4 linked regions of the Tamandua tetradactyla genome follow. The protein of the gene in region 3 interacts with the protein of the main gene of each other region in a pairwise test. Links are inferred from orthologs where the notes say so. Each region holds a gene or a part of one and is shown on either strand. Other genes may lie near its edges. The genes, in order: FBXO7, AURKB, PSMA3 and ZNF385C.

Region 1 (8,326 bases), on a different chromosome or scaffold from region 3:
AAATTGAGAAGTGGGAGTCCTTCAAATTTGTTCTATCTTTTCAAGATTGTTTGGGCTATTTAGGGCCTCTTGCAGTTCCATATGGATCTGAGGATTGCCTTTTCCTTTTCCATAAAAAATTGCCATTGGGATTTTGAGCAGGATTGCATTAAATCTATAGATTTTTTGGATAGTATTGCCATCTTAAAATATTGTCTTCCAACCCATGAACATGGAATGTCTTTCCATTTATTTAGGTCTTTTGGCAACATTTTGTAGTTTTTAGTCTACAAGTCTTTCATCTCCTTGGTTAAATTGCCTATCATCTTCTGAATAGCCTTCTTATACTTGGAGAAATTCCAACATTATTAGCTCCACTTCTCCAAGGAAGGAGTTAAGATCTTAATTCCAAGTATCTGTAGTAGCTAGGACTTAGACATGGAACCTGGGCTCCCTCAAACAGATAAAACTGTATAAATCATTGATTCGAAAGTAATGACTGTGAGGAAACAGGCTCTGCTGGGAGTTTGGCTCTTTATTGGTGCAGGAGGCTGCCAAGGTGCACTGTATTTAATGGTAGTATGGTGGTGGCAGCAACAATGCCAGCTGATGAGACAGTTTTCTCATCAGGCCGTTTCTTCATTGTGGTTCTGAGCTTCATTCTTGGAAGCTTAACCTGGTGTTACTTCTCCAGCCCTCCCAAGAATTCCCTGAGCTATCCAGTATCCTTTTAATTTCCTCTTTTCCTGCTTAATCCAACTGAGTCAGCTTTTATTGGTCACCCTAATGGATAAAGACTCCTAACGGATAAAGACTTTCCAGTGGCCGAGCATACATTCTGAGATGTCTCACAAATTCCTTGCTTAGCCTAAACCTCTTCCTTATTTAGGCTGCGCCCACTTCTGTCCTTTACTCCGGACACACAGAGTCACCCTGATCCTGACAGGGATCCTCAATGCCATATTCCTTCCAATAAAAATTCACCTAGAACACTTCTCCCATACCCACCTTCTCAGAAAGGCTTGATTCATTTGTTTCAGTGGCAGCCTCTGAGCAGGACAGGGGAGTAGTACATGAGATGGCTGCATGTTTCCAGACTACCCAAGCCTAGTCCTATTGCCTCCATTCATGCCTATGAGCTCCTTCACTTCCTTCTAGAGAATCCCCTGTTGCTCACAGTAGTCATTTCTACTGCTCACTGCTAAGGAGCTCTACTGGCACAGAAACCTTCTATATACTCCAATCCTCAGACTGTGCTTGTGTCTATCATAAACAAGACATTTTTTAGGTTCCACTTCAAGAGTTGATTCACTCAAGTGTAAGTCCTGCAAGGGCAGGAACATGTCTTTTTTTTGTCTTTGAGTCTGCAGCTGTGACCATCTGGCACAGAGTAGGTGAATAATAGGAACTTACTTTGGTGAGTGAATAGCAAATTGTGGACAAGTGCTGCCATCTACAGGGAAAACTTCTGACTCTTACAATGTTTTGGAGGCTATCCAGTAAAGGTGAATTTTCTCCCTCCTCGAAGTTATCATCATCATCATCGTTGCTGTCATTAGATCCTCTGTGGTGGCCCGCCTCCAAGATGGTCCCCAAATGATCCCTGTCTATGATGTATTCATGCCTTTGGACTGTCCTTCCCACACTGAAGGGTTGGTCTGTGTGACCAATAGAATGTGACAGAATGATGGTATGTAACTTCTAAGGTCTATATACTCCAACCCTCAGATCATAAAAGACATTGTGGCTTCTGCCTCAGACCACCAGGGATGAGGGAGACCAGCTGCCACGTCATCAGTATACTCAAACAGCCCTGTGGAGAGGTTCATGCATCGAGAAATGAGATTTCCTGCCAACAGTCACGTTAGTGAAACATCTTGGAAGCAGATCTCCAGCCTGAGCTGACATTTCTCACGACTACAGCCCTGGTCTGCATTTTGGCTGCAATCTCATTAGAGAACTTGAGCTAGAACCACTTAGCTAAGCCACCCCTAAATTCCTGATCCATGGAAACTGTGAGATAATGTTGTAAGCTGTTAAATTTGGGGGTGACTGTTACACAGCAATAGATTACTAATATACCCTCTAACACAGATTGTTACCACTAATCAAGGCTCTTTTTTTTTCTCTAACAAGAATTTGTTGGCTCATGGTTTCAGAGCTGCTTGATCAAGTTTGCACAATGTTTTAATCTTCTTCCTATTTATACATGCATTCCTTAGCTGAATTTGACTTCCAGATAAACACCTTAGGTCTGAATCTTTTTATTCCCCTAATTAGATATGCACCCTTTGCCACTCCCTTAGCTGGACGCTTGTTTCTTTACATCAGTCAAAATGAGGACAATATATTTTGCTTAATTCACAGGAACAGTATGAAGACCAAAAGAAAAATGTATCTGCATTTTCTCAAAAACTATAAAAGCTTATATGAAATAGGAGAGAGCTCTAATAATTTACCTGATGCCTTGCCAGGTCTGCTTGTGGGGAATTGTGGGTGTACAATTATGCCTGTATGTAGGGGAAGAGTGGCCCTTTACTAAGATATTTCAGGCTCATACTATTATCACCATCCCTTTACTAATGAACTTTCCAAGAACTTGGAAAGCTGAGTTTCCATTGTACTGGAAAGTCATTTCCCCTCTCAGATGTCCAGGTTAAAAAAAAAATCCTTCAAGAAATTTTATATGCATACATAAGTAAATATATGTTTACATATACCCATAAAAACATGAATGCAATATTATACAATTGTTCTGCAATTTTTTATGTTAAGAAAACTGCAGAATCATTGTATATTGGATCTTACATATATTATCTAATATATATTGGCTTACATTATTGTTTTATTAGCTTCTTAGATTTCATTGTATACATGTACTACAATTCAACCAATTTTCTGTATATGAACTTTTCTTTAGAGGAACAGGCTATACCATGTAACATTTATAGAAGGCATTTAGCATAGTGGTTAGAAATTTCAGTTCTATTTTGAGACAGGCAATGACAATATTGCTAGCTGGGTGTCCTTAAGCTATCCAAGCTTAAGTTGGTTATCCAACTGAAAAGCCAATCAAGAGCGGCCATCTCCCAGAGCCATGAAGACTAAATGAAATTATGCATGCAATGTATCCGGCATAGAACTTGGCACACAGGAAGCTTTCAAGAAACCCTTTATTAGTGATCCTTGAAAAATTGCAACCCAGCCTATTAATGCTGCTGGGTGTTTTACTGTTGCGGTTGTTAGCAACTGAGACCAGTAAGAGATTGTGATTTCATAGACTGAGGAAGTCTATAGATTGAAAATATTTTGAGCGTTTTATCACAGTGTACAGTACTATTGGTACTGCTTTTTTCTCCTTCACATCCTGAACCTCTGAAGGTGGGCCCTGCATCTGGGAAATTGAGGGAGTGAGATTCCCAGATTTCAAACTGTGCTGGGGCAGAGTGCTTGGAAAGTAAGGGGGCGTATCTCAGTCCATCCTCTCTTATTGAGTTTATCTGTTGAATATATTAAGCTTTCATACAAGCTTTAGTTTTATTAACTTCCAAGGCAAAAAGAGTTTGAAAAACCATTTGGGTTGATTCATTAATTCTTTCCTTCATTCACCATGCATTTCTTGAGCAATTTCCAAGCCCAGATGACTTCAGATGTCTATAATCAAATGGGGGCATATAATCCAACAATTACAACAGTGTCCACCTTATCCCATGAGTTTTTTTTCTTTTTCAAGCAGTTTTATTGAGACATAATCATACACTATACAAATCAATCCACAGTATACAATCAGTGGTTCAGAATATCATCGAGTAATTGTGCATTCATCACAATAAATTTTAGAAAAAAAATCTCATACCCCTGATATCCCACTATTATTGACCCTTATGAAATATGAAAGAATATTTTTATACTTTTAATTATTAATCACAGACGTCATCCACCACAGGGTTCACTGTGTATACGTCCTATGTTTTATCCTCCAGCTGCAATTTTTTTATTTGTCTTTGCACTATTTATCATGCACATCTTATAATAGTGAATAATAATTTTACCAATTTACCCTATTCCTTTTTGTGTCTGTACAGCATTTTATCATAGATATATCATATTTAGCCATTTCCCTTTGGTAATTCATTTCCAGTTAGTTTTTTCGTTTTATTTTTTTCTTTCTTAATTAGAGAGGAAAGTTACCCCATGAATCTTAAGCGCTGTAATATCGAACTTCTTACAGCTACCCTGAATATGCCTGCTATTTGGCTTTTTTTTTTTTGCATCTTTTTGTATACACCATTGCTTGCAGACTCTTGGAAAGTTCCCATTTATACTTTAAAATACAATTTAAATACACTTGCTAACGCCTTAAGTTCCAGTTAACCACTTCTGTATCTTGTACTTACTTCCACTATTGCATTTGTTATATGCACTATAACATTTGTTTTCTATTTGGTGAGAGCAGGGACCTGCCGTAAACTCTTCTGCCTTCCCAACTGTGGGTGCAGGGTCAGAAGGACATTATACAACAGGGCCTACACAGTATTTATTTTTAAGATATTCATTTATGGTATAACATATGCTAAGGTCAACACTAGGCGGTAAACAAAACAAACTCGGTCCTCGATCCACAAAACTCATGTTCTTGTGTGGGAAAACGCCAATACAGAAATTAGCAAATTAAAAGAGAATTCCAGATGATAAATTCTAAGGAAATAAACAGCGCGATACAGCAGTTACTGGGGAGACCAAAAATGACAGGGCTTTGACATAACGTTATACCATTTAATTCTTCAGCGCTGCGGACCCACAAGAGGAGGTCGCTACCTGGTTTCGCTATACGGCTTTTCGGAAGGTGCCACTGCAACTGGGCGTGGAAGACCTGATAGTTCACCACGCAGGAAAGGAGGTAAAAACTGGTACACACGTCCTTGGGAAGTGGCACGTTACAATGTCCACAGCATCATTTTCAGCACTGTTTTTCTAGGCACTTCTGAAAGGAATCGAAAAAAGCCACGTAAACTAACAAGCCTAGATCCCAGCGCCTTGTCGCAATCTGGGCGCTTGCGCAGTGTGCTCCTCCAGGGTTGCGCCCTTGCGCGCCGAGTCACCGATCGGGAGTCCCGGAACCGCGGAGCTGGGCGCTGGCCGCTGGCCGCTGGCCGCCAGCTGCCGGCTCTCGGGGTTGTCTCCAGGGGGCGCCCTATGGAGAGGCGGGGCGTCCGCCCTTGCGGAGTTTTCTTTCCGTTACGCCTCAGCACCCCCACAGCTCCGGAAGTCACCGTCCGGGGCCGCTGCGCGGGACGGGAGCTGTTCGGCCCGTCTGACGCCACCATCAGCGCCTTCGAGTTGAGCCCCACCAGGCCTTCGGCCGCCGCCATGAGGCTGCGGGTCCGGCTTCAGAGGCGGACGTGGCCGCTGGAGATCCCGGATGCAGAGCCGACGCTGGGGCAGCTGCGCGCGCACCTAAGCCAGGCCCTGCTGCCCACTTTGGGGTACAGGTACGCGGGGGCGAGTCGGGGGCGGAGGGCCGGCTGCGATACGGGTGTGTACTGCGGGGAAAGTGTACTTGGGTATTTTTTGGGGGGAGAGTCCGCGCGCGTTGCGCTCTAGACCGCCCGTGCTCCTTGCGGTTGCTGGGCGCCGCTGAGTGCTCCTCTAAGGTGCTCAGCCGTCAGGGGCGGTCACGTTAGTGTCCGCTCTCCGGGGGCGTGGTCGTGCTTAGGCGCATCTGGGTCTGTGACGCGCCGAGGCCGGGGCAAGTTCGCCGAGGAAGGGCCCGGGACCAGGGCGGGAGTTCGCTAGAGGAGTAGTGAGCGGGACGCCGGGGCTACTGCGGGCGGGGGGTCCCGGCTCCAGGAGCTCATGGCTCAGCCTGCCGGCGGCTCGGATCCCCTCCAGGGTAAGGAAATCGATTCCGTCTTTAAAGTAAACGAAGCCATGGCTAGGATAGAATGGAAAATGCACACGATGTTTGCATTTAAAGTTGGAAATTCTGAGTTTGGGTTGGGTTAACCTGTCCATACTATAGGGCGTTTAAATTCAGTTTCTTCAGCTGTTGGGTGTTTCAGTGATAAACTTTTGGGAAGAATACTAGTAGAAGTCAAAAATCTGCCCTCTATCATAATTCACCTGTTATCTGTACTGCAGCTGTAAAAGCCGTAATAATTATTTTTAAGAGTAGGTTGAGCATCTGTGTGGCAGCTACGTCGGTGAGCATTTTCACTTATCCACTGCAGTTTTAGAAAGTTCAGCGTGCAAGCTTGTTACAAATCGTTTAATTTTCCTGGGGGAGATTTTGCTTGTTTGCTAAAACAGAGGTGAACTTTGGCCTTAGGATGACCCTGCAGAGTTTCAGTTTTCCAACAGTGAAGTAGAGAGATTTTGGTACTAATTTATAGGGTTGCTATTTTGTTTTCAGAGGTATTTTTTTTGGCAATCATCTGGTAATAGAGGGACAAAGTAAGGAGGCTTCTTTTCGAATATTGAGCCGGTGAATTTGAAATTTATGAGTTTGCTAAACATTTTAAAAAAATATTACCTGGGGGCTTTTTAGGTGAATTATTCAAAAAAAAAAAAGAAAACTTTTATGTTAATTTCATTGAAGCGGCTTATTTCCTAAGACTTTTTTAAGCTTCTAGTTTATTTTTAGGGAATTCATTAAAGTTAGGCCCTATTATGAACTCCTCACTCTTTCATTCTTCAGATTAAGACATTATTAGATTAAAAGTAAGCCTGGTTTTCTCCAAAGTAAAAAAAATGAGGAGGTATGGTAATAACTTTGAGCATTATGGTAAGTGACGTGTCTGTTGTTATTTCTTGGTATTAAACCTAAGTATTTTGGTTCCTCCTGTCATTACCATAAATTTTCACAATGAACTTTTCTTTTTAAGGTATTTTCATAAGTATGTATAGATATTTCTTTTAAGTAGGTAGGGCAATCTTGAAAGGATGTGAAATTCAATATGAATCTACCCGAGAGCCTAAGTTAGTTTCTCTTTCAGGTTTGTTTTCACAATTGAGGCTGGTTGACAGGAAACAGTTTAAACTGCAACTTGTGAAAGTAAATTCATTTTTTGGAAAGTATGTTCATTTTATAATAAACGAGCAGTGTTAAAGCATGTACAAATGGCAGGTGTTATTTTTTAAAAAGTGTCTTCACAGAGCAAAGGGATCCGAAATTGTCATAAAATATCTTGAAAAAGTCTGGAGTTTCTAGTTTCATTGCCTGTTTAACTTTTGAAATGTTAAACTAAAATTATTTTTTGTTCCTGTCTATGCACCATTTCAGAAAACAGAATCATTTTTAACCCTCTCCCTGGAAAACTACATATTACTTCAGGAATAGCTTTTTCTTTTTTCAAGGGGGCAGGGAAGGCTGGCATATTTCTTAAGTGCTTTACCTTTTCTATGAATAGAGACTAGATGTTTGAACATGCATTGTACTAGATACTGTTAAAAAACTTTTGTTGTGACAAATGATCCATAAACACGAACAGTTCATGAGGTGTTTTTCTTTTCTCTGCCAAAGTTGGGATGTTGTTTTTCTGGGCAGCTGGCAGATTCTGAACATTTTGTTTATCAAAGCATTTTGAAAACAGCAGCAGAGCTGCTTGTTTTCTGAGAAGCAGTGGTAGTTTCTACTCACACTGCTAGTAAATAATAAGCTTAGTAAGTTGCTAACTTTTTGCTAATAACTAGTAAACTTCTAGTACTTTCTCTACAAAATACACTTTTAATTGGTAAGAAGAAGTATGTTTGTGTGTGGAAGAAAAATGAATTATTTTGAGCACTTTTGAAAATATGCTGCATTGTAAGAAAGAAAAAACAGAATAGGATTTTCAAAGAACTTCATCCTTTGTTAACCTCTCAAAAACTTAATGAAAGAGGTATTATTGGCTATAACAGTCTTATAAAATGTTTTACACTTTTTGTTAATTATCACCTCTGTATGATGAGACGATGGTTATACTCACAAGGTCAGATAATCGTGATGCACAGAGGATGGAGAGTTTGTTGCTTCAGGCTTATTTGAGCTCTTAGGTTATTTAGCAGTGGGTTTTTGAATTTGTACTGTCTTCCATATGAAAGACATCATAACTCATCATCAGTAGAAAAGAGGACCTGTACCTGCCATCAGTAGTGGGGGTGATTTTGTACCCAGTCATCTGCACACACCTGTTTTGATTTAAGAATATTCACTTAGCTCATAGGTCTCGTATTTTGAAATGAAAGTATGCTGGGTGCACGGAAGATTCAGTGGTAGAATGCTTTCTTCCCATGTGGGAGACGCGGGTTTGATTTCTGGACCATGCACCCCCCCCCCCCCCAAAAAAAAGAAAGTATGCTAACTGCC
Region 2 (7,777 bases), on a different chromosome or scaffold from region 3:
TCACCATGTGCCCTTCCAGATGAGAGAGAAACTCTGACTGTGTTCGCCATGTGCCTTCTCACTTGAGAGAGAAACCTGAACTCCATTGGCCTTCTTGAACCAAGGTATCTTTCCCTGGATGCCTTTGATTGGACATTTCTGTAGATTTGTTTTAACTGGAACATTTTCTCGGCCTTGGAATTGTAAACTAGCAACTTATTAAATTCCCCTTATTAAAAGCCATTCCATGGGTGGGCCATGGTGGCTCAGCAGGCAAGAATGCTTACCTGCCATACCAGAGGACCCGTGTTCGATTCCCAGTGTCTGCCCATGTAAAAAAATTTTTAAAAAGCCATTCCGTTTCTGGTATATTGCATTCCGACAGCTAGCAAACTTGAACAACATTGAATGTATATCTTCAATACATGTTGATTATATATACGTGGGCTTGTATTTTCTGTGTTTTCAAAATTTCATTTTCCAATGAGTTCATGTTCATTGTATTTTGTAAAACTTAATCATCTATGATAGATTGAATATAACCAGTCCTTCCCCACAAATACTTTGAGAAGCTCTTGATTTTATACTCAATTCACTAGCTTGGGCAAGCACCAGGAAGATCTAATAGTTTTTGTTTTGTTTTTATGAATAACGCAAAATCTGACACTGTGCTGGTCCATCAGATACCCTCAAAGGCTAAACATCTCCTGGCATAATGTGGAGGCAGAATTTAAAGACCCCAGGCTACAGGCATACTGTCTTGATCTTTCAAGTACATTTCCCCCATGCACTCTGACCTCTGACAGGATCCAGAAAGATGTCCCTTCACTAGGTCACGAGGAATAAAATGTACTTCAAGTGCTAGGATTTTAATAAGATTCTTCTTGGCCAGTCTCTTTATGCCAAGTAGAGGCACTGCAGTTGAAGCAGACTCCCTGATTTTGGGAAGCAGGGCTGGGCTTAACTCTAAGTGAAGACAATGTGCACTCCACAAACAAAACGGCTTTTCATAAATGGAAGCAGTGATTATGATCATCAGATGTCTGGGAGATGGCTCATCATGTGGAGATCTCTGACTTTTTTAATTAGTCAGAATGAAATATAAGGCAACTATGAGAAACCATTTCCACCACTAGCCTCTCACTGCCTGCACTGTGGCTGGTGGAAGGGATACTCACTTTCCCTGCGGCCTCCTTTGCATTAGTTGCGGGACAGAATTCTAGCCAAGGAGAAATCTGCTGGGTACTTCTATGCAGGCTTCAGTTTTCCCTAAGACAAATGGCAGCCTTCTTGCCACCAAAAGGGAAATGAGTATTGCAGAGAGGAGAATCCAGATCTCCAACACTGTTCGGTTCTCGAACCAGTTACCCACCGGGGTGGGTTGAATTGTGTACCCCATTTGGACCAGTTCTTGGTCGTGGTCCACATTTCGGATTCTGGTGGTGTGGACCCCCTATAAATAGGATATCTTGAAGATGTTACTTCCGTTAAGCTGTGGCCTGATTCAGGTTCGACTTTAATCTGGATGACTGGAGCCCTTTATAAGCAGAGTGAAATTCAGACAGAGAGAAGGAAAGCCACAGGAAGAAGCCAGAAGTCAACAAAGCCCAGAGAAGCCAGCCACAAGGAGATGCCACCATGTGCACTGCCACGTGATAGAAAAGCCAAAGAATCCCAAAGATCACTGTCCAGCCAGAAGCTCATAGCCTATAAAACTATGACCCGACAAATTCCTGTTGTTAAGCCAACCCATTGTACGGTATTTGTTTTAGCAGCTGAGAAATTGCCACACCCATTTCCTCTACATTTCATTTTATGTAAAGGAAAATAGGTTCCCATTGTTTATGCCTTTGATAAATGGGTTTTCTGTTACTTGCACCCAAAAGTATTATGAACTGATCCAGAAACCTATAAGGATTTATTTGATTAATATCTGGTTGAATCATATGAAATTTCCATTTTGTGTGTGGATTAAAAAAATAATGACTGGATATCATCAATTTCATCTCATCCAACCTAAACAATTCTACTATAGGTCTGTAGTTGTGTGTAAATTAGTATGCCTTTGACAGCAAAGAATAGAACTCATAGCCCAGAATGCATTACAGAAGGTGACGTATTCGTTCCCATAAGGAAAGTCTTGAAGTAGGCAGGCTGTGCTTGACAATGGCATAAAAGACTCAGGTTCTTCCCAGGCCTTGTTCTGACTTCTGCAGGGTCAAGCGTCAGTCTCTCTCATCCTTCAGGCACAGCACTAGCATCAGTGCAGGCTGTGTACTTCCTAGATCGCGTCCAGCAGGAGAAAAGGAACTTCTACTCAGCATTCTAAGTAAGAATTCTAAGACTAAGATTCCCATTAATTGGCCCATTTAGGTCACATGCTTTTCCCTGAACCAGAGAATTGAAGAAGTTGATTGTCTTAAATCAATCAGGGCCCAATCCACAAAATCCTAGGTGTGTTCAGGCAACGGGAATAGCTGGGAGACTGACTGCTGGCTGGATGGCCACAGTGTCCACTACAATAGCTCTCCATCAGGAAGGGACTTGTCACCAACAGAAACCAACATCTTGCTCACTCCAACAACAAGAGGATAACAGGTAGCTCACAGAATCAAAGGACGAGCTAACAATCACGCCTTGGGAAGCACAGAAACCAGGGCATTCTCAGGGATTTCGGTAACAAAAACCCAGTTTTTTGAGGGCACTGCCCAGACATGACTCAGTTTCAACTGCCTTTCATCTGTGCCTCACCCTGATTAAGAAGTAAACTCCCCACCTGGCAGCATGGGGCAGAAATCCCAGAATGAGCTGAGATTCAGCATCAAGGGATTGAGAAAACCTTCTTGACCAAAAGGGGGAAGAGTGAAATGAGACCAAGTGTCAATGGCTGAGAGATTCCAAACAGAGTCCAGAGGTTATTCTTAGTCTGGAGGTTATTCTTACGCATTAAGTAGATATCAACTTGTTATTCAAGATGTAATGGAGAGGCTGGAGGGAACTGCCTGAAAATGTAGAGCTGTGTTCCAGTAGCCATGTTTCTTGATGATGATTGTATAATGATATAGATTTCACAATGTGACTGTGGGATTGTGAAAACCTTGTGTCTGATGCTCCTTTTATCTACCTTGTCAACAGATGAGAGGAACATATGGGATAAAAATAAATAATAGGGGGAACAAATGTTAAAATAGATTTAGTTTGAAATGCTAGTGATCAATGAAAGGGATCAGTAAGGGGTATGGCCTGTAAATTTTTTTTTTTCTGTTTGTTATATTTTTCTGTGTCTTTTTACTTCTTTTTCTGAATTGATGCTAATGTTCTGGGAAATGATCATGATGATGAATATGCAACTATGTGATGATATTGTGAATTGCTGAGTGTATGTGTTGAGAATGTTTGTGTTTCTTGTAATTTTTTTAATTAATAAAAAATTAAAAAAAAAAAAAAAGAAGTAAACTCTCCAGGCAGAGATTCTGATTGGCTTGAATTGGTCACAGTATCATCTTTCAACCTAGGGGTCTGGACACTATGAGTAACAGTCTCATGGGGACTGCACAGAATGGGGACACCCGGGGGCTCCCTAAAGGGAAATTAGGGTGGTGCTACTAGAATGGGGAAATGATGCTGAACAGGCAATACTTAGAAACGTCCCCTGGTTATTTCAAAGGTGGTCCCAAATTTCTTTATTTAACAAAATAATAGAAGCTTGGAGTCTGAAGGAGCAGAGAATTAGAGAACATGGCAGGAAGGACAAAAAAAGAGTGGGTTCAAATGACGCAGCAGAAGTCAGGGGACCTGCCGAGAAATGTCGACCGGTGGAAAACTCCTGCGAGGGATGTGAGTGAAGGACTTTAAAGAAAAGGATAATAGTGACACAAAAATAAACACTTACGCAAACAACTTAATGGAATTAGAAAGCCCAGAAATAGACCACAAAATATACATAACTTAATATATCAAGGGTGGCATTTAAATTCTGTGAGGGGACTGGGCTGTTGAACAAACGGTGCTGGCACAACTGGCTAGCCATCTGGCAGAAAACAATGCTAGACCCTATCTCATATATACCCAAGAGTAAATTTCAGATACACTACAGGTTTAAATAAAAATTTATATTAAAAAGTATGAGAATACTTGTATGGAGAAGGAAAGGGAAACTTCCCGCGGCCGGAACCCTAGTGTGCCGCGGCTCGCTCCGCCCCTTCCATTGGGCCCCCGCGGCCTACGTCATGGGGCTATCAGCCAATGAGAACTGCGCATGGGCGGTGCCTTTAGCCAATAAGGTCAGGGCGGGAGATTTGAAAGGGCCACTGCGGGGGCGCTGCGGGGCAGCTTCAGTCGTTTGCGGGCGGCGGGGTGAGCAGCTGCGCGGCGGGCTGCAGGTGAGCTGGGCTCTTTCGCGGGCCCTGCGCCGGGACAGGGCAGGTGGTCCGGCAGGTGTGGGGGCCGTTGGACAGAGCCGCGCTCACTTCCTGGAGGCGAGGGGGGCCAGCACCAGGGCCGACGAGTCTAGGCGAGTGCCCGGATGCCCCCAGACTGCGGCCGACTTGCTGACCTGCCCCAGGCAAGCGCTTCCGATCGGAGATCAGACCCCTCCCTCTCTAGCTCCTTCTTTTTCTCCTTCTCATGGTTCTGTTTCCTTCCTCCTGCTCAGCTCTCCGCCCCCTTTCCCTCCAAGGATGACCCAGAAGGAGAACGCCCACCCCTGGCCCTACAGCCGGCAGACGGTAAGGCTCTTTCCTTTCTGTACTTCCAAACTGCAAGGCGAGAGTACCCCCTTAGAGAGTGTCTAATGCGCCCCAGTCCCGACTTTGGGGTTCTGCAGAGGGCGAGCCTTCAAGCATTTTCTTCCCGGATATGATCGATCGCATGGGCGCCCCCGGAATTTTTTATTTTTTATTAATTAAAAAAATAAAACAACAAACAAACGCAAACATTCTTAACTTTTGATCATTCCGTTCTACATATATAATCAATAAATCACAATATTATCACATCATGATCACTTCCTGGAACATTTGCATCTATTCAGAGAAAGAAATAAAAAGAAAACAGAAAAAAATTCATACATACCATAACCCTTACCCCTCCCTTTCATTGATCACTAGCATTTTAATCTAAATTTATTTTAACGTTTGTTCCCCCGATTATTTATTTTTATCCCATATGTTCTACTCTTCTGTTGACAAGGTAGATAAAAGGAGCATCAGACACAAGGTTTTCACGACACACATTCACATTGTGAAAGCTATATCATTACACACTCATCTTCAAGAAACATGACTACTGGAACACAGCTCTACATTTTCAGGCAGTTCCCTCCAGCCTCTCCATTACATCTTGAATAACAAGGTGATGTCTACTCAATGTGGAAGAATAACCTCCAGATAACCTCTTGACTCTGTTTGGAACCTCTCAACCATTGACACTATATTGTCTCATTTTGCTCTTTCCCCTTTTGGTTGAGAAGGTTTTCTCAATCCCTTGATGCTGGGTCTCTGCTCATTCTAGGATTTCTGTCCCATGTTGCCAGGAAGGTCCACACCCCTGGGAATCATGTCTCACGTAGACGGGGGAGGGTGGTGAGTTTGCTTGTTGTGTTGGCTGGAGAGAGAGGCCACATCTGAGCAACAAAAGAGGTTCTCTCGGGGATGACTTTTAGGCCTAATTTTAAGTAGGCTTGACCTATCCTTTGTGAGGTTAAGTTTCATATGAACAAACCCCAAGATTGGGGTGCCCCCGGAATTTGATGGCAGAATTGGGTCTGGTCCTTCACAGCCACATCCTAGGAAAGGCCTCTCAAGTGCTGCCAGCTTGACTCTGACCAGCCAGTGGCCCCCAGCCTGTGAGGACTTCTGCAGAGCTGGGCCTACATGTCACATGCAGGTGACATCTGGGGTTGAGCGTCAAGCCAAAGGCAGACCATGATTCCCTACCCTTGCCCTGAAAAAATATGTTAGGTGAGAACTAAAAATAGACTCTAGAAGGATTTAGATACAGTTACTGTTCAAAAGGGGTCCAGGACAAGTCTAAATTAATACTTTGGAATTTATTTTAATGACCCATGTAAGGAAGGGATCTAAATAGATTTCCCCCCGGATGGTAGTTGTCTCAATATCTTTCATTGAAAAGTCGACTCTGATTTGAAATGTCACCTTTATTATATGTATTAAATTCCCACATACATGTGGATCAATTTCTGGACTCTATTTTGCTCACCTTGCTTAATTAACTATTCTGTACTGATAATCGCCCTTTTGGAACAGGTTTTTAAGGGCACTGGGGCTTCCTTCCTCACTTGGCTGAAGAAAAAGGAAGGTGCCCTGCACAGACTCTGCTTTCTATTGGGGGCTTGGGCATCCTGGGGATTTTTCCTCTGCGTCACCCCCTTATGGATCCCTGAGTGAAGCTGTCATGGAGAAATAATAAGCCACTTCTGAATGAGAAACGATTGTCACTTCCACATCAGTCACTCCCCCCCAAAAGCTGTTTATAGTGCCCTGAGAGGTTGAAAATAGGAAGTGCTCGGTGGGCCACCAAAGAAGTCCTAAACCTTATGGACTGAGTTTTCCAAAGGACTGTTAGAATACCTCTGCTACAATTCCTTGAATTGTGGGTGTCCATTGGCCCAGCCCATTATCACCCCTGGGTTTGGGGGCACTGGGCGGTTGGGGGCTGATGTTATGGGAGGAGCTATAGGGGACAGCCTCATGCCCAAGAACGTGGTTGGAGCCAGAGCCAAAGAAGTATAATATAAGGTGTTGGGCTGAGTCCTTTGTCCCTTGTCTTAGGCCAACAGAGGCTGTTTACTATTCACCCATTTTTATGTGGGGCTGTGAGCAGAGCCTTGGGGCAGAGTAGTGGCACTGTGGTGTCAGTGTACCTCATTGAACTAAGGATGGGTGAGTGGGTGGCTTTGCAGCAAGTAGTACTGAAATGCTGCTTGCCACACATTCCAGCCGGGTCACTGGGACAAAAGCGCCTCAGAATTGTCAACTGTTCCTTCTCAGGCTCAGTCTGTCCTGAACACCCTGCCCCAGAGAGTCCTCCGCAAGGAGCCTGCCACCCCATCTGCTCTTGTCCTCATGAGCCGCTCCAGGGCCGTTCTAGAGCCTTCCAATGCCCAGCCCACAGGTAACCACGACGGGGATGAGGAATGGCCTGAGGGGACCAGAGCCTGTGGGGTGGGGACAGGGAGGACAGCCTGTCAAAGGTGAGCCTCAGTTTACTTGTTCTCTCCTTAGCTGGTCAGAAGATAATGGACAACAGCAGCGGGACACCCAGCTTCTTAATGTAAGTGCCCTGAGCCTTGGGGTGGGGGTGGGGGGCAGTGAAAAGGAAGGGAATGGGGAGGCAAAACCTCAGGACTGGGGGCCTAGAGATGGGGGCAGGAAATTCTGGTTCGTCCCTGTTCTAGTTTGCTAGCTGCCGGAATGCAACACACCAGAGACAGATTGGCTTTTAATAAAAGGGGATTTATTTTGTTGGTTCTTGAGAGGAAAGGCAGCTAACTTTCCACTGAGGTTCTTTCTTACGTGGAAGGCACAGGATGGTGTCTGCTGGTCTTCTCTCCAGGCCCCTGGGTTCCAACAACTTTCCCCAGGGTGACTTCTTTCTACATCTCCAAGGGCCTGGGCTGAGCTGTGAGTGCTGAGATGAGGAAAGCCGAGCTGCTTAAACTGTGCCTACATTACGTTCTCTCATTTAAGCACAAGCCAATTAAGTCAAACGTCACTCATTGCAGCAGACACGCCTCCTAGCCGACTGCAGATGTAATTAGCAACAGATGAGATTCACC
Region 3 (8,343 bases):
CACGTATTAAGGCTATACAACTTCCAACAAATGGCATAATTGATTTCTAGTTTGGGGCTCGGCATAAAAAACAAAAACAAAAACAAAAACAAAAAAACTCCCTGAAGTCCAAACTCTAGAGGTTACTGTGTGGAGCACACGAGCTTACTTTCTTCCTTCAGTATGGTCTTGTCAATGAAAGCCAAATTGAGAAAGGGGGTTCTGATTCAATTAAAACAAGGCCTCTTTCGGGTGTCTGCCTGACAATCAAGAGACAGGCCCTTCAGGGTTGTTATTACCTTTCTGCTCAAATAAATAGAAGATGAAAAGAAAGGCTTATAGGGTCGCTGAGTCATGGTAAAGCATGTTAATTCTAAGAGGAAAAGAACAGAACTTGATTTTGACCACACTGACAACCTGAGACAACGGAATACCCTCCCAAACAAAAATAACTATTTATTTTGAAATACTGGTGAATCTTTCAGATAGGGAATTCTGCAAATTTCTGTATTTTAGTGGTGATGGTGGTGTTTCCATCCTACTGCTCAGAACTTCCAGTTAAAGCCTATTTGAAGGCTGGAACTAACAAAGAATTCTTAGGGATATTATCCCTAAAATATAGTATATAAAACCTAAACACACTGGGCATCACATCCCCGGAGAACCTAAAAAAAAAAAGAAAGAATAATGTCATAAAATATTATATGATTAGATTACTTAAAGCACACCTAGGATTTAAATAGAATATTTATATATTTTTAAGCTTAAAATGTTATTACAAATAGGGAAAACTGTGTGTTTGTGGGGTATGTGGGAACTCTGTACTTTCCACATGATTTTTCTGTAGACCTACAACTGTTCTAATACAATTAAAAAATATATTATTACAATTATACACAGTAGCAATTTTTTGTTGCAATTGAAAACTCTGGCTTACTTGTGATTATTTTATAAACTTGGCAGACAGCAAGCAACTTTACTGAAAAGTCAATTCAACTGTATTTCTTAGCACATTCAATATATTTATTAAGTATCTACCAAGTACAAGGGTATTCTGGTAAACAGAAGGATAACATAAGAGGCCCTGATAGCCTCAAAAAGCTTATCACCTCATAAGAAAAATATGTGTAACTATTCAGTGATTTTATTTGTACTGCCCTACTTCCAAAACTAATTTGGAGTAACTTCAAACAAACCAACAAACCCATACCCACATCTTTTCAGTCTTCTGGTGAATCATGCAAATATTAATCAACAGACCATACAATTCAATGCACTTTTTCCAAGGCACAAAATAAATGAACAATCAGCTCCAAACTAGGCAGATCATCTGTCAGTATGTTCAGAAAGAGCCCATATTCTTTTTTTTTAATTGACAAAAACAACATACACAGTATACAATCAATGGCTTACAATATCATCACAAAGTAGTATATTCATCACCATGATCATTTTTTAGAACATTTGCATCACTCCAGAAAAAGAAATAAAAGAAAATAGAAAAAACTCATACGTACCATATTCTTTACCCCTCCCTCTCATTGACCACCAGTATTTCCATCTACCCAATATATTTTAACTTTTGCTCCCCCTATTTTTTTTCTATACCCCTTACCACTCCCTTTCATTGATCACTAGTATTTCAATCTACTCAATTTATTTTAACATTTCTTTCCCCTATTATTTATTTATTTTTAATCCATGGTTTTTACTCAACTGTCCATACCATAGATAAGGAGCATGAGACACAAGGTTTTCACAATTACAGTCACACTGTGAAAAAGCTGTATCATTATACAATCATCTTCAAGAAACTTGGCTAGTGGAACACAGCTCTACAGTTTCAGGCACTTCCCTCTAGCCTCTCTAATGCACCTTAAACTAAAAAGGGGATATCTATAAAATGCGTAAGAATAACCTCCAGGATAACCTCTAGAACTCTGTTTGAAATCTCTCAGCCACTGACACTCATTTTATCTCATTTCTCTCTTCTCCCTTTTGGTCGAGAAGGTTTTCTCAATCCCTTGATGCTGAGTCCCACAAGAGCCCATATTCTTAATGATTAATGAATATAATCTAGGCACTAGGCACTCAAATAGCGCTTATAACACACAAGTAGTGAAGTTCATTAAAAGTTTCACTGGATTCCTAAACAACTTTGGCATACTTGCTGTCTACCTTCAGAGTGAATCCTCCTATTAGAAAGCTTTTAGCTCTCTTCAGGATTTTTTGGCCTGTCCTGGTCTAAATCATGAGCATTTAATGAAAGAACTGCAACTAGAATGCTTCAGTGTGGGTGAGGCAAAGTAAATGGCTGATTTTCCACGTAAATTCAATTCCTTTATTTATTCATTTGTTAATGAATAAAACCTACTGTGTAATTATGATGCTTCATTAGCAGGATGAAGCAGTTGAAATTGCACTTATTTCTTTACTCTCTATATCCAATTCTTCAGCAAGACTTAAATATCAGAAACCCACCCACAGACATCACTCTAGTCTAAATCATTCTCCATACCACTTGGGCATGACTGCAACAGTTCTAACTGGTTCCCTGCTGCTATTCTTCCACTTAGCTATCATTCCTTTTTTTATAATTTATTGTAAAATATAATATATACATATATACACACCATACATTTAAAAGTACATTTAGACAAGTAGTTACAGAACAAATTTCAAAGTATGGTATGAGTTACAGTTTCACAATTAGAGTCATTTCCTTCTAGCTGCTCCAAGACACTGGATATTAAAAATAAATATCAATGTAATGATTCAGTAGTCATCCTCATTTGTTGAATCCTATTTTCTCTGTTACAACTCCTCCTTTTCCTTTGATCCTTCTCCCAATGTTTAGGGATATTTGGGCAATGACCATTCTAACTTTATGTTTAAAAGGAGTGATAACATTATGTGGTAGGGGGATGCAACTAGTTGATATCTTTTGGAGAGACTGGTACCTCTACGTTTCAGGGCTTATCTGGCCTATGAATCATCTGAAGGTCTTAGGTTTCTTAGTCCCAACTAGATCAGCTTCGTTCTCTAAGTGAAGGCTGATCTATTTTTTTGGTTTCTTTAACAGTTGCTGTATGTAGCAATAGTGTCTTTTGGAGCTGTAGAACCCCAACTCTGTGTCTTAGGTGTCACACAGGTACCATCTTTTTTGAAATCTCAATGCGTTATTATTAGAATGGCAACATCTTTACAAATTGGTTTTCACTGACAGGAGCTATAGTCACCATCACCATTTTACCTTGACTTAGCTATCATTCTCTTTAAATAAGACATTATTTAATAATGTAAATCAGATCATACATTCTCCTGCCTAAAAACTGCTGATGACCTCACAGTAGATACAACAATAAATGTGGACACAATGATGGAATTAGAAAATTACTATCTGGCAGCGATCACAATAATAATTTCATCAAATAAGAATTTCAATGGATGCTATAGTTGGTGAAAGGCTGAGGAGTAACAGGATGTTGACTCACAAAGTATTTACTCACAAATATTTATGAATTACAAAGGGAAAAATAGAAACTTAATAGTAAAGAAAAGTTAAGGAAGTGATCAAAATTAACATCATCAGTAATGGAACAAATTGACATCAAGTACCTCCAAAAATAATGCTCTGAGATGAATGCAAGGTCACTTCTGTGGTATTCCTGCCAAAAATGCATTATCTGACTCTAATCATAAGAAAACATCAGACAAACCCAAATGGAGAAATATTCTACAAAATTGTCTGTAGTCTTCAAAAATGCCAATGCCATGAAACCCAAAGAAATTCTAGGAACTGTTTTCCAGATTAGAGTCTAGAGACATAGTAGCTAACACAATAGGATCTTGGGTTTTCTTTCGCTATGAAGGATGTTATTGGGAAAACTGCCAAAATCTGTATAAAGCCTGTAGGTTATAGTAGTGTTAATTTTCATAATTACACTGTGATTATTAAGGTGCTGTCTGTGGGTTTTTTGGTTTGTTTGTTTGGATTTTTGTTTTATTTTTTAAAATACACACTGAAGGATTTAGGGGTAAAAAATTGCTGATGTCTTCCCATTTCAGTCAGATTAAAATCCAGTACTACATGATATGGTCCCATGTCCGCTTCCTGCCACTCTACCCCCCTTAAACACTGTGCAGAGCCACACTGTTCCTACAACAAGCCAAGCTCTTTTCTGCCCTTCCTGTTATCTGTCCCACTGTTTTCTCAACCTAGGTTTCAGCTAAATTACCAACCACTTAGAAAGTCATTCCCTGAACACCAGGACTAAAGCTTCCTCCTCTACTCTATCAAAGTTCTCCTCTCGTCTCACAAAGTGCAATTATTTTGCCTATTTATTCATTATCGTCCCCTAACTCCATGAGGAATGCGGTGAGGTGGTGTATGTCCTGCTCACCGTCCCATCACCAGTGTCTAACAGAGTACTTTAAACATAATAGAGCTCAATAAATCTCTTGAGTTAGTCTTATTGTGAATTCTACTAAAGAGCGATATAGTCATAGAAAGGACACTAATGCTTTTGGAACATTCCAACCTAAGTTCAACGATGATACGCCTAAAATGCAATTTCATTCTGGAACCTGAGAGTGGTGTGGGTGAAGGAGATGCCTTCAAGAAACGAATGAGAACCAGGTCTTCAACGGTGGGGATACCTCTTCTCACTGCTTTTTTCTCCGCTTGCTCTAAGAGGACACGAACATTTCTCCTCTTTGCTACAAAAAAGAATAAACTAGCAAGAGAGAGCGAATATAAACGATAAATAATGATCCTTAGGAAGAGGACTGGAGCAGCTCTCCAACTACCTGACAGCTCCAAGAGGATCCACGACACTCAGGGCCCGAATTGAGGAACCCAGAACCTGTACCCTCCCAACCCCGCCTCCATTGCTTCTGCACATGCGCGCCGCCCCCAGCCTTCTCCACGGTCTTACTTTACCCACAATTCTCTTCGTTCCGTGGGCTAAAGACCTGGGACACGAGCCCCAGAAAACAGTGCTATTGGCTGAAAGTGCAGCCAATGAGAAAGGCTGTTATTAGTTTGCGCGGTGCTGCGGTGTAGGGGCAGCCCTTCAGGCCTGGAAGCCGTACGCGTCCCGGGGATCTCAACGCGATGAGCTCTATCGGCACCGGGGTGAGTTTCTCTCTCGAGGTGAAGTCTAGCCTAGGAATTCGCGTTGAGAGGAGCTCGGACGATCCTTCTGACGGACTCGGGTGCGTTGGGACTGCCGTCGGCCAAGCGAGCGGCTTCCCCGCGGTCTGGAGACCGGCAGCCTCTCCTTCGCGGTGTTCCAGGCCTGCGCGCGAGAGGAAGCTTTCTCAGCTGAGGGGTAGCGGACCCGGTGGCTCAGCAGCGAGGGTTTGGGGCAGGCTTGGATTGCTGAGTCACTGGCTTTAACCGCTTAGGGAAACCGAAAGTGGAAACGCGGGACCTGAAACGGGGTGGAGGGTTTGGCTGTCGTCCGCCTCGTGAGAACCACGGAGGCGGAGAGGCTTGGGCTTTGCCGAGTCCGGGGCGCCTGGATTGTGGAGACCGCGTTTGCGGTTCCTGGGACACTGCTGACCACGGCCTCCTCTCGTCCGCGAGTGTACTGACCCACCCAGCAGTAGGGGAGTCGCTGGGCGGGCCATCGTGACAGAGCTAGGAAGAAAAATGGTTGGGAAAGCTAAATCTTAGGAAGCCTTTTAGTTTTCCCGTCTCAGCTTTTCCTGTGCAAATTACTTTATAGAACTTCTGGGCATTAATACTGTAAATACTAAAGTGATTACGCAGGAACTTTAAACAATTCTGACTTTTAATAAATAGACTACTGAGGGTTTTGGAGTTGGACTTAATTGTTGTTAGCTTCTTCGGCTTACTGCTTTCCTTTGTCAAACCTGTTGTACATATGAAATCCTTTGCTTATTCCTTGTAGATACTTCATATAGAAATTAGTTTTTGTTTAAAAATATCGGAATAATGGGTTTCTTAGTTCCTCTATTCCAACTTATTCACAAGATTTTGGTACTCAGCATTAAAAGCAGATACTGGTGTTCAGAGTTTGTAATAGGCAACGTATGTTTGGAATGGTTTAATCCATTCCGTTGTGAAATGCCAGTTATGTCATACTTTTTGGATTAGTAGGTGCTCAGTAGTGCATCTTGTAGTAAATGGACCTTGCAACTACATTAAAATTACCTTCATTTATAAGTGTTTCATTATAAAAAGCCTTTAAAAATACCTGTTAATATTACCATATCTGGTCATTTAATGTTACAGTGGTAGAGTTAATAACATTCGCTTAATAGGAAACAGACTCAGAAAGTACCACTGTTGAATGCTTACCTCCTGTACTGACTTCTCCCCAAGAACTCAAGTAATGCATATTTGTCTGTCTACTTGTGACTTCTTTCCACTTGTTTAATAGGAATTTCAAACTCTCCATATCCAAAGTAATGCTCTGGCTTTTTCCCTTCCCTTCCCTTTTGCATCTTCAGCAGTCTTCAACTCAATGAATAGTCCAATTCCAATTATTACAGTGAAAAATATCTGTGAGCCGTCTATAATCCATTTTTTACTTTACTCCCAGAGCCAGTCCATTAGCAAGTTTTTTTTTTTTTTTGCTCTACTCACAAAAGGTAAATTAGATCATATCACACACACACCCCAATTACTACAATTGCATTTATAATAAAATATAAACTTCCTACTCCATCCTAAAAGACACAATATGATTTGGGCCCTTACCTGCATCTCTGATGTAGTCTACTGTTCTCTCCACTGTTTATTGTGCTCAAGACACAGTGAATCTTGTTTATCTTCCTTGACTATGTTAGGCCTATTTCTGTGTTAAGGTCTTTGTGCCAGATGCCAGAAAGCCTCTTCCTTGGCTAATTCTTGTCATTTACGTCTGAGGCAACCTAGATATAATTGCCCCAGTTAGGCCTTCCCTGACCTCTTAGTCTGTGGTAGTCCCTTAGTCTCACTAAACTCTGTTTTCCTCGTAGTACTTTTACTGGTTTACTGCTGTATCTGTAGCACCCAGATTCAATTTGAAAATGAAGGACTTCATGAATGACTAACATAATAGATGCTTATTAAATGTTTGATGCATGTTAAATGATTTGTCCTGGTCTTTCAGTTTGTTAGTGGCACAGCTGCACATCTGAATGTTCTGACTCCATTTCTTTTTCTATCAATATGAGTTTTGCGTTCTTTCTGAAAAAGTGCTGAGAGTTCACCTAGGACTTGTGTCCATTGCTTTCCAATAATCAAGAACTGTCCCATAGCCACTGTTGCTGTTCTGACATACTTCCCCTTCTTCAAAGCATAGTCTTAATTGAGATATGACAAATTCCTGATGCTTTAAGCTATTTAAAGTGAAAAAGTTGCATGGTTGTTACTGGCAAAGATAAATTTATTGTTACTTTTTTTATCCCTAGTATGACCTGTCAGCCTCTACATTCTCTCCTGATGGAAGAGTTTTTCAAGTTGAATATGCTATGAAGGCTGTGGAAAATAGTAGGTAAGAAATATTGTTTTACTTGAAGTAAGTATGTTTTAAACAGATTTCATTGAATGTCTCTTTTTATTTTCTACATTTTTGGTGATTAGGCTTCATTATGTTACTTTGTCACAAGCTGATGTGTGCCTCCAAATAGTTTCAGTGTTGTTAGTCACTTCCAGATCTTCTAGGTCAGATCTTTTCCCTGAGCCCCAGCCTGTATTTCCAGTCAGTTCTGGGATTGTCCATTTAGATATTTTGTCTTTGTTTTCTAGGGCTACTGTGATAAGTCCACACAGTGGGTTGGCATAAAGAGCAGGAATTCCTTCACAGTTTTGAGAGGCTAGAAGTCCAAAATAAAGGTCTTGACAGACTTCTTCTGGAGTCTTTACAATCCTGGTGCTGGCTCACTGCAGTCCTTGGGGCTCCTTGGTTTACATCTCTGCCTCTGTCAGATGACAGTCTGTTTCTTTGGTCTCCTGTGACTTTCTCTAACTGACTGCATTCATATTTCCTGTGCCTTAAAAGGACTCCAGTTTGTTAAGGCCCACTCTGATTCAGTTTGCCTCATCTAAATAGGATCTCCGAAGAGCCTTTTCAGAAATGAGTCCACAACGTAATGAATAATAACACCTTCAGAGGTCCTATGTACAAATGAATATCCACAGGAATGCAGATTAAGAATGGAACGTGTCTTTTGTGGGGGACAAAATTCAGTTCCCAATATCTACTGTATTTTAAATAAACTGTAAAAAATCAAACACATAATCATCCTTGCTAACCCAGTTTTCTCATTTAATTCTTGATTTACTTGGCCATTGGTTTTGTGACCTTGCAGTCTTATTTCCCCTGTTTTTGTTTATTATGTCCTGTTACT
Region 4 (7,426 bases), on a different chromosome or scaffold from region 3:
GGGTCTGCAAACGGCACCTGAGACGGCACTGGAAGCCATGTCAAGGAGCGTGCACCTGTGTATGGCATCTCTGTGGGTTGGTGTAGGTGACATGCATACCCGGATGTGAGGGTGTGTGTCCAGTTCCATCAAGCACCTCCGAGCATTAATGAGGCCAAGGTGGGCAGGCTTGATCCCCAAAGAGCCCAATCAGAATCAATGAGTGAGTCAGAGACAGCCGCAAAAAAAACCACTGCGGGCCTCTCTCTTCTGAACAGATACTGTGTCCAGGTGCCATGGGGCCCTCCACTATAGTCAAGACCAATGTGCCCTTCATTCCTGCTGGGGACGACCCCCATTGCCTGGCCAGCTGGCCCCCACACTCTTCCCCATCCAAAGTCCAAAATCCAAACTCAGGGGAGGCCCCCCTCCTCGCTTCGGGTACAGCGCCCTCTGAGAAGTGCGGCTGGAGCCAAGGTGAGGCCCAGCCCTGATCCTCTCCTAGTCTGCCTTCCATCTCTCCTGCTGCTGCAGCCCCCTTTAGCCCTCTCCTTGCTCCCTGGGTCCAATGAGTACCTGTATCCATACTACATTCAGGAGACGAGCAACCTCTCTCCTCCTCATCCCTCCCCTCTCAAGCATCACAGGACATTTTAAAAAGTTGTTCCAATTTTGGGGTGGAGAATGAGGTCAGGAGGCCCAAGGGGGTGACTGCTTGTTGGCAACAGCTGACAGTTTTCATTTCACCTTGAAACTCCTTCGTGCTTCCGGTGAGCATGTCCTAAGCCTGGTTTTATAGGAGAACTGCTGTACTGGGGGGCAAGGAGACCAGGGAGGGAATACACCAAATGGCAGTTTCAGTCACTGACCCAGTCAAACCTACTCCTAAAGTTTGCAGGGCCTGGGCAAGAGTACAAGTGGAGGCCCACATATGTGTGTCTACTAAATATTTAAAAGTTATAAATCAAGCTAAGAAATTGTTAAATAAAATATGTTCCAACTTCCTCCCTTGACAAATATACCTTCAGAACAACCTGGAAGACCAGGTTCAAATTTAGATTTCTCAGACACCTAGGAGTCATGCGTTAGAATGAAGCTGAAAAGACAGATCCTCTCTCACCCCTGGCCTCCGGCCACCACCCCCCTTCCTACTACTAGCTCTTTTCTGCAACTTCAGGGGTTCCCAGGCATGTGTATGAACCCCCTGCCAATGCATCCTAGATCCATCCACACACCTGGCAAACAGCTGCCCCCTTAGCCACCCCCACTCCCCAGGCTTAGGGGTATCCACACTCATGGGCAATCTGCCATGGGGAGGCTGGATCCAGAGAAGGGGCTTGCACAGGCCTGGGAGCAAGCTGGTGACCATCTGCACAGAGACTTCCAGAGTCAGGTATCAGGAGTGTGCAATTGAAGGGGACACACGGGCTCCTGGTAGGCTCATCCCGTTGGCCCTGCTGACTTCTCACCCCATAGGGAGAGAAATGGCTGAAGAAAGGCCAGGCTTCAGGGCAGAGGCACTCCCCCCTTCCCACTCAGGTTTAAGGGTGGTACTGGCCCAGCCCTACTGGTGGCCTCCAGGGCTCAGGCCAGGGTCTGAAGCTGCCTTTCCATTGGAGGACAGCTTGGACAATCCCCAAACAGGATTTTCAGTTACTTGTATTATTTATCTTCCTGGAAATTTTTAGTGTGACTTGATCTCAAGTTCTGGATCTCTGGAGGTTGGGAGCGCAGGGAGGACTTTTTTCTTTTCTTTTTTTTTTTTTTTCCAGGTTAGGTCTTCAAGCTAGGGCTTGTTCTATGGAGGCATAGCCCCAAGTGGGCTCCGGCTGTCACAGGTCCCTGCCCTGGCCGGGCCTCTCCCGCCACCCCTGAGACAAAGTGTGAGACAAACAGGGTGACTAAGAGATGAGGAGGTGAGGGGCCCTGGACAGCCCAGACACATAAGCTGGATCCAGGGACCAGCAGGGGCTGGTGGTGGCAGGGTTAGTGGTGAAAGGTTTCACTCTCTCTGGCCAAGTTTGAAAATAAACTTACACCCTCCCACCCCATCCCACCCCCACCCCCGCAGATCAGCTTTGCTGTCCTACACACAAGGGGACACTTATACTGGTTGACCCCTTGCCAGATGCCAGGCACTGTGCTAAGCGCTCTACGTGCATATTCTCATTTAGTCCTTGCAGCCACTCTATGAGGTGGATTCTGTTAATATCCCCATTTTACAGGTGAGGCAGCAAACCCAAAGAGGTTAAGTAACTTGCCCAAGATCACACGGTAGGTAGAGGAGACAGAACTCGGGTCTATCTGACTCCAAAGCCCACACTCTTTCCACGATAGCACTTTGCCTCTCAGAAATGAGAAGCTGGCACAGGAGCAGAAGGGATGAAGGTCAGATAAAAGAAAGAACTTCCTAACAATGATGGCATGTGTGATGAGGGGAGACAATGGAATGAAGAGTCTGGACAAAGATGAGAGCCCCCCCGCCCCCAACAAATGTCACCTTTGCCCGTCCCAAAGGCTTGTGAGGGTTTCTGGAAAGTCCCTGGGGTCCTGCTGGCTCCAGATAGCAGCATTCTGTCCTCTCTCCATTCTACAATGCAGGGTCCACTGCTCTACCACAACCCGACTCCAAGGCCCAGAGGCTGCTGCTACTTTGCGGGTCAGAGCTCTAAGCAACACACCTGAGCGGGAAGCTCAAGCCCTTTTCTTTCAGGAAGGCTTCCTTGAGGTCCTGGGAGGCAAGTTCCAACGCCGAAGGTGCAAATACAACCCCTGTGAATAGTAGGCCCAGCATGGGTGTGAATACATCTGTGACCCCTTCTCCCGGGCTCTGGAGCACCGGCACAGCAAAAACACTTAGTCTGGAGGCTCTCAGGACTCTCAGGCCATCTGGATAACCCCTGGTTCCCCCACCGCCCTCACCCACCCACACCTGTTCCCAGGTATAAACGATGCAGAAATCCGGGGCTCCTCTGCAAGCCCAGGCCCCAGTTCAGCTGTGCAGTGGCTCTTACCTCATTTGTGCACGGCACAGAAGTCATGTGGGTTGTCCCATCACTTCCCACCAGGAGAGGATGCTGCGCGTGGATGAGGCACCCCACAAGGACTCACTGAGTTCCCCCTTACTCCAGAGTCCCCATAGTCACTGCTCCCAACCTGCTTTTTTCTGGAAAGCCACATCCCTAATGCTCCGCTCTGTCTTTTCCCACCCTCGGAGCCCACCCTAGCGTCAGCAACAGCAAGCTGCGGCTCTCTAAACTTCCCCAGAGTTTAGCCGCACCCGCTACATGCCCAGCGTCGGTACGCAGAGCCAGGATAGGGCTGTCCTCACTGTCCGGTGGGGTCCCCAGTTCTGAGGCGAGGGGAAGGGGCAGGTGGAAGGGCTGCCTTGCGTTCCCGCGCTGCCCTCGAGGTCCTCAGCGCGAGCCAGCCCGCATCGCTCTCTTACCTGCGGGGCAGAGACGGAGCCCGCCACGGCCACCTGCTCTCGCCGCGCTCGGGAGCGCCCCGCCGGCAGCCTGGCGGGGGCGGGGCCAGACTCGGGGGCGGGGCCGGGGCGGGGGCGCCGCGGCCGGCCGAGCCCCTCCCTGAGTCTCGCGGGGCCGGGTGGGCCGGCTGATTCAGGTGGGGAGGGGGCGAGCTGGCGAGCCACGGTTTTGCTGAGGGCTGGGAAGTCAGGACCCTTCGGAGGGCGTTATGAAATCTCCTCCTTCAGGCAGCCTGCCCAGGTGCCCTGCAGCCAGTGGCTCCCTATGTAGACCCCTCACCTGGAGATGAACGCCCAGACACCCCACCTTGCCTGCGCTCACCCTTACCGTTGAGCTCCCTTTTCAAGAAAGCTCTCTGAGCCTGGCAGGGCGGGTGGGAGATAGGACAAACAGCTCAAAGGCGGGGTCTGCTGTCCAGTGGTTGGCGGGGGGGGGGGGGGGCTTGGGCCGCTGAGGGGCTGTTGGGCCCAGGTCATCTGTATCCTTGTCTTTCTCTCTGAACCCCCACCCTCCCAGCTCCCAGTGCCAGCTCAGGTCCCTCAGCTGTCACTATTTAGCCCTGGAATGACAGGCGTCCGGACTCCGTGCATCCAGACACATTCAAGGCCACTGAGCTTAGCACCCCTGAGCCCCTGCCCCCCTCCCTCCACCCCCGTCGCTAATTTTATTGACCCATAGAAGGCACGTTGCTGGCAAGGGGGATAATAACTGAAAGCAAAGTGGGGAGCAGACGGGCAGCAGAAGGGGCCCCCGGAGGCAGAGATGGGATGAGATGGGGGAGGAGGGCAGCTGCCAAAGCCAGGGCCAAGGGACACCCAGAGATTAGAAGGAAGAAGGGCCCTGGGAAGGAGGGGTACACATCTCTGAGAGGAGGGGATCGGGACAGACTGTAACTGGAATTTCAGCTCTCAGATAAGAGACCGAATGAGGGAAGAAGATGCTGAGGGGAATGGAAGGTGTATTGTTTCCCATCTGCCCTGAGGCAGAAACATGGATGCAGCAGGAGGGAAGGAGGTTAGATGGCAGGAAGGACTACCATCTTGCTCTCAAATCTCTGCTCTAGCCCCCTCCGTTCCTCCTGAAGGTGACTCCTGCCTGCTGGGCCTCTCTTACTACAGAAATAGCCCTTTCCCTAAAGAGTCAACCTAGATCTTGCCTTTTTTTTTTTTTCTTGTTAAAATGAGAACAGAAAATTTAGGCCTTTGCAACCCCCATACCCACTTCCATGTCTAACTGAGCCCACCCCTCAAGTCCTGGATCTTAGCCCTTCTCAACCCAGGGGAGATAACCTGGGCATTAGGGGAAAACAGAGAAAGGGAGGCTTTGTGACTGGAGCCCATTACAGAGGGGAGGGGTATGAGCCTCAAACTTAGAATGCTAGTGTCTCTCCAAATAAGGTTACACAGACAGCCATAAAGAGAGTGGTTAAACTTGAACATGACAAGTATACCAAAGCGGGTCATTGGATCTGGAGGGGCAGGAGGTAGGGACGCTAGGAAACTGCGAGGGTGATGGCCATGTTCATTACCTTACCTGTAGAGGAATATACATATGTTAAAACTCACCAGATAAATATGTGCAGTTTATGTTAATTATACCATGATCTAGCTGTTTTTTAAATATCACACATTTTCTATCTCATTTTTTCTCTTCTTTGTTTTTAATTTATGAGGGGCCTCAAAAATTGGAAGTGGCTTTGGCAGAGAAGGGCTGATGAAAGGCCAAGAGAAGCTGTTGTAATTCCTAATACAGGATGGAGAGCCACCTGACTCAGTTTCCCCCAAACTCCATCCATCGCCTATGAAAGCGACTATGCGTATGTGAGGCTGATCTGGGCTTAGCCATGGCCTTCCAACTGCTTCCTTGGTATGGGACGTGGAACCAGCCTGGCTGTCTGGGGCTCCCTGGTGGCCAGACAGGCCAACACCCCAACTTGGGCATTACAGCAGAAGAGGTCTGGACCCAGGCTTTGCTCAGGGGAAGGTGGTGGATGCTGCAGACTCTACCGCCCCCTGCTGCCTGAGACGGGTGCTGCAGGGGTGAGGCTGTCAGTCCAGGAACAGGTCAGACAGGTCAGAAAGTTCAGACAGGTCAGCACAGTGTTGCATATAGTTGAAGTCAGGTACTGGGAAGGGCACGCGGGACCACTTCTTGGCCTGGACTCGCCCTTGTGGGGTCTCCAGTAGCATACTGCGGACTTTGAGAGCTGGCAGCTTCACCGACTTGTAGATCATCTGCAGACCCCAGACCTGTGGGTGTGACAGAGGCACGTGGGGTCTGGGCCTCTGCCGTCAGGCTGGGCATGTGTCTTCAAGTTGGGGTGCCATGAATAGGGAAACTGTGTCTCCCACCTCAGACTGAGAGCTGTCTCCCCTGTCACACTCTGTGCTCCTAAGACAGGGGCTGGACCTTTCCCTGCAGATTGGGGGCCTCTGGGATAGGACTGTCGCCTCCATCCTCGTGAGGGCTCTCAGAGGGCAGGGGCTGGACACCCTCCTCCCTCAGACTGACAGCTGAGAACTCTGGGGCCTGGGAAGCAGCTCAAGCACTCACCTCCCCACAGTTTCTGCAGCTGATGGTGCCCCCAGGGCTCCAGTCCTTGAAGACTCTGTTAATGACCACAGGCTTCTTGGAGACGGTGTAGTAGATCCTTGAGAGAAAGGAGGGTGGCCTTAGAACCCCCATGGACTCTCAGGCCTCACCATCTTTTCTCCAACCGCCAGAGTGAGACCTTCTACAAATGTAAACCTGGCCCTGACATTCCCTTGCTCAAAATCTATCCGAGGCTCTGCATTGCCTACTAGAGGAATGTAAACTCTCAGGCCTAACCTTCAGGACCTCAGTGGACTGGTGTGCTTTCCTTCTGGCTTTCACTGTTCGTGGTCCCTTCCACTCAAGGCAACTGGAATTACCCCTCTCTGCCTTTCATCACCCCTGCCTCTGCTCGTCTTTTCCTCATCTCATCAGAGCCTAATCCAACCCATTCTCTGAAATCTAGTTGAAATGCTACAGTCTCAAATGAATCTGCCTGAAAACCCTCAGCATAGTGCTTGACACACAGTAGGTATCTAATATATAGTTATTTTATTAATGAAAGGATGGGAAACAAAGGTTTTGTGATGAGGAATAGCCAGCCCCTCTTAGTGTCTTTAGAGTAGGTAGGATTAAGTAGTTCTACCCCTTGTGGCCCCTCAGCACTTGACAGCCTGAATTCTAGCTCTTGGTCAACCATACTGCAGCTGTGGGAGTTTGGGCAAGACAATTAGCCTCTCTGAGCCCCAATTTCCTCATCTATAGAGCAGAGTGGTGCTAAAACCCATCTAATCGGACTTGTGAAAATGCAGTATCTGTACATGTTAAACGGCTCTTCAACCTCCAAAACCCATCGGAGCACTGTCTAGATGGGAGGGATTCTCAGTCCCCACCAGCCCAGCCCACCCGCCCCTCATCCCGACTGCCTCTTCCCCGGTTCTCACGAGAAGTTGGGATTCACGCTGACGTGGTGGGCGCCCTCCACTTTCCGCAGGTCACTGCCGTGGCCCACGGCCATCAGGCAGCTGATGCAGAGGAGCTTCACGTGGTCTGCCAGGAACTGCTGCCGCCGGCTTTCCTGCAGGGTGGCTCGGGCTGCTCTCTTGACCAGGGCTGCCCGCTGCAGATCCCGGATCTGGGGTGCAAGGAGACACCCAGGCTTGGCTGGGACCCAGGAGCTCTGACCCCAGGAATGCCCCTAGCCTGGGGACAAAGGGCTCCCAAATACCTCAGAACGTTTGTACCCAGAAGGGACTTTTCTTGTCCCCCCCACCCCTCAGCCCCTGGTGTTTGTAGAAGCAGCTCTGGGGAGAAAAACATTTCAGGGGCAGGGTAGAAATAGGTATTGCCACTGAATCTCTTCCCCCTCTTTGGAGAACTTCATGCAAAGCTTTCTTTGAACTGATCACCTCAGGGCAAGTGAACAG

Evidence for each region.
Region 1: the proteins of PSMA3 (region 3) and FBXO7 interact in binary tests that used the Homo sapiens proteins (3 or more experiments, as listed by UniProt). The two-hybrid records come from large-scale screens. The link is inferred for Tamandua tetradactyla from reciprocal best matches to the Homo sapiens genes PSMA3 and FBXO7.
Region 2: the proteins of PSMA3 (region 3) and AURKB interact in a two-hybrid assay, tested with the Homo sapiens proteins (2 studies listed by BioGRID and IntAct). The link is inferred for Tamandua tetradactyla from reciprocal best matches to the Homo sapiens genes PSMA3 and AURKB.
Region 4: the proteins of PSMA3 (region 3) and ZNF385C interact in a two-hybrid assay, tested with the Homo sapiens proteins (2 studies listed by BioGRID). The two-hybrid records come from large-scale screens. The link is inferred for Tamandua tetradactyla from reciprocal best matches to the Homo sapiens genes PSMA3 and ZNF385C.

What each region holds. Positions count from the first base shown.
Region 1 is NC_135333.1:24,545,607-24,553,932, forward strand, and holds the start of FBXO7 (F-box only protein 7), read left to right. Parts: upstream 1-5,106; 5' UTR 5,107-5,175; coding exon 5,176-5,471; exon of another isoform or gene 5,472-5,669; intron 5,670-5,705; exon of another isoform or gene 5,706-5,835; coding exon of another isoform or gene 5,836-5,872; intron 5,873-8,326. UniProt on the Homo sapiens protein: Substrate recognition component of a SCF (SKP1-CUL1-F-box protein) E3 ubiquitin-protein ligase complex which mediates the ubiquitination and subsequent proteasomal degradation of target proteins and plays a role in several biological processes such as cell cycle, cell proliferation, or maintenance of chromosome stability.
Region 2 is NC_135332.1:62,040,369-62,048,145, reverse strand, and holds the start of AURKB (aurora kinase B), read left to right. Parts: upstream 1-4,248; 5' UTR 4,249-4,361; intron 4,362-4,381; exon of another isoform or gene 4,382-4,543; intron 4,544-4,633; 5' UTR 4,634-4,658; coding exon 4,659-4,706; intron 4,707-6,989; coding exon 6,990-7,113; intron 7,114-7,223; coding exon 7,224-7,272; intron 7,273-7,777. UniProt on the Homo sapiens protein: Serine/threonine-protein kinase component of the chromosomal passenger complex (CPC), a complex that acts as a key regulator of mitosis.
Region 3 is NC_135338.1:7,395,066-7,403,408, reverse strand, and holds the start of PSMA3 (proteasome subunit alpha type-3), read left to right. Parts: upstream 1-4,951; 5' UTR 4,952-5,095; coding exon 5,096-5,116; exon of another isoform or gene 5,117-5,196; intron 5,197-7,404; coding exon 7,405-7,487; intron 7,488-8,343. UniProt on the Homo sapiens protein: Component of the 20S core proteasome complex involved in the proteolytic degradation of most intracellular proteins. This complex plays numerous essential roles within the cell by associating with different regulatory particles.
Region 4 is NC_135332.1:25,144,421-25,151,846, reverse strand, and holds the start of ZNF385C (zinc finger protein 385C), read right to left. Parts: upstream 3,487-7,426; 5' UTR 3,428-3,486; intron 1-3,427. Other genes in the region: ATP-dependent RNA helicase DHX58, read right to left, coding at 5,516-5,716, 6,021-6,117, 6,944-7,134.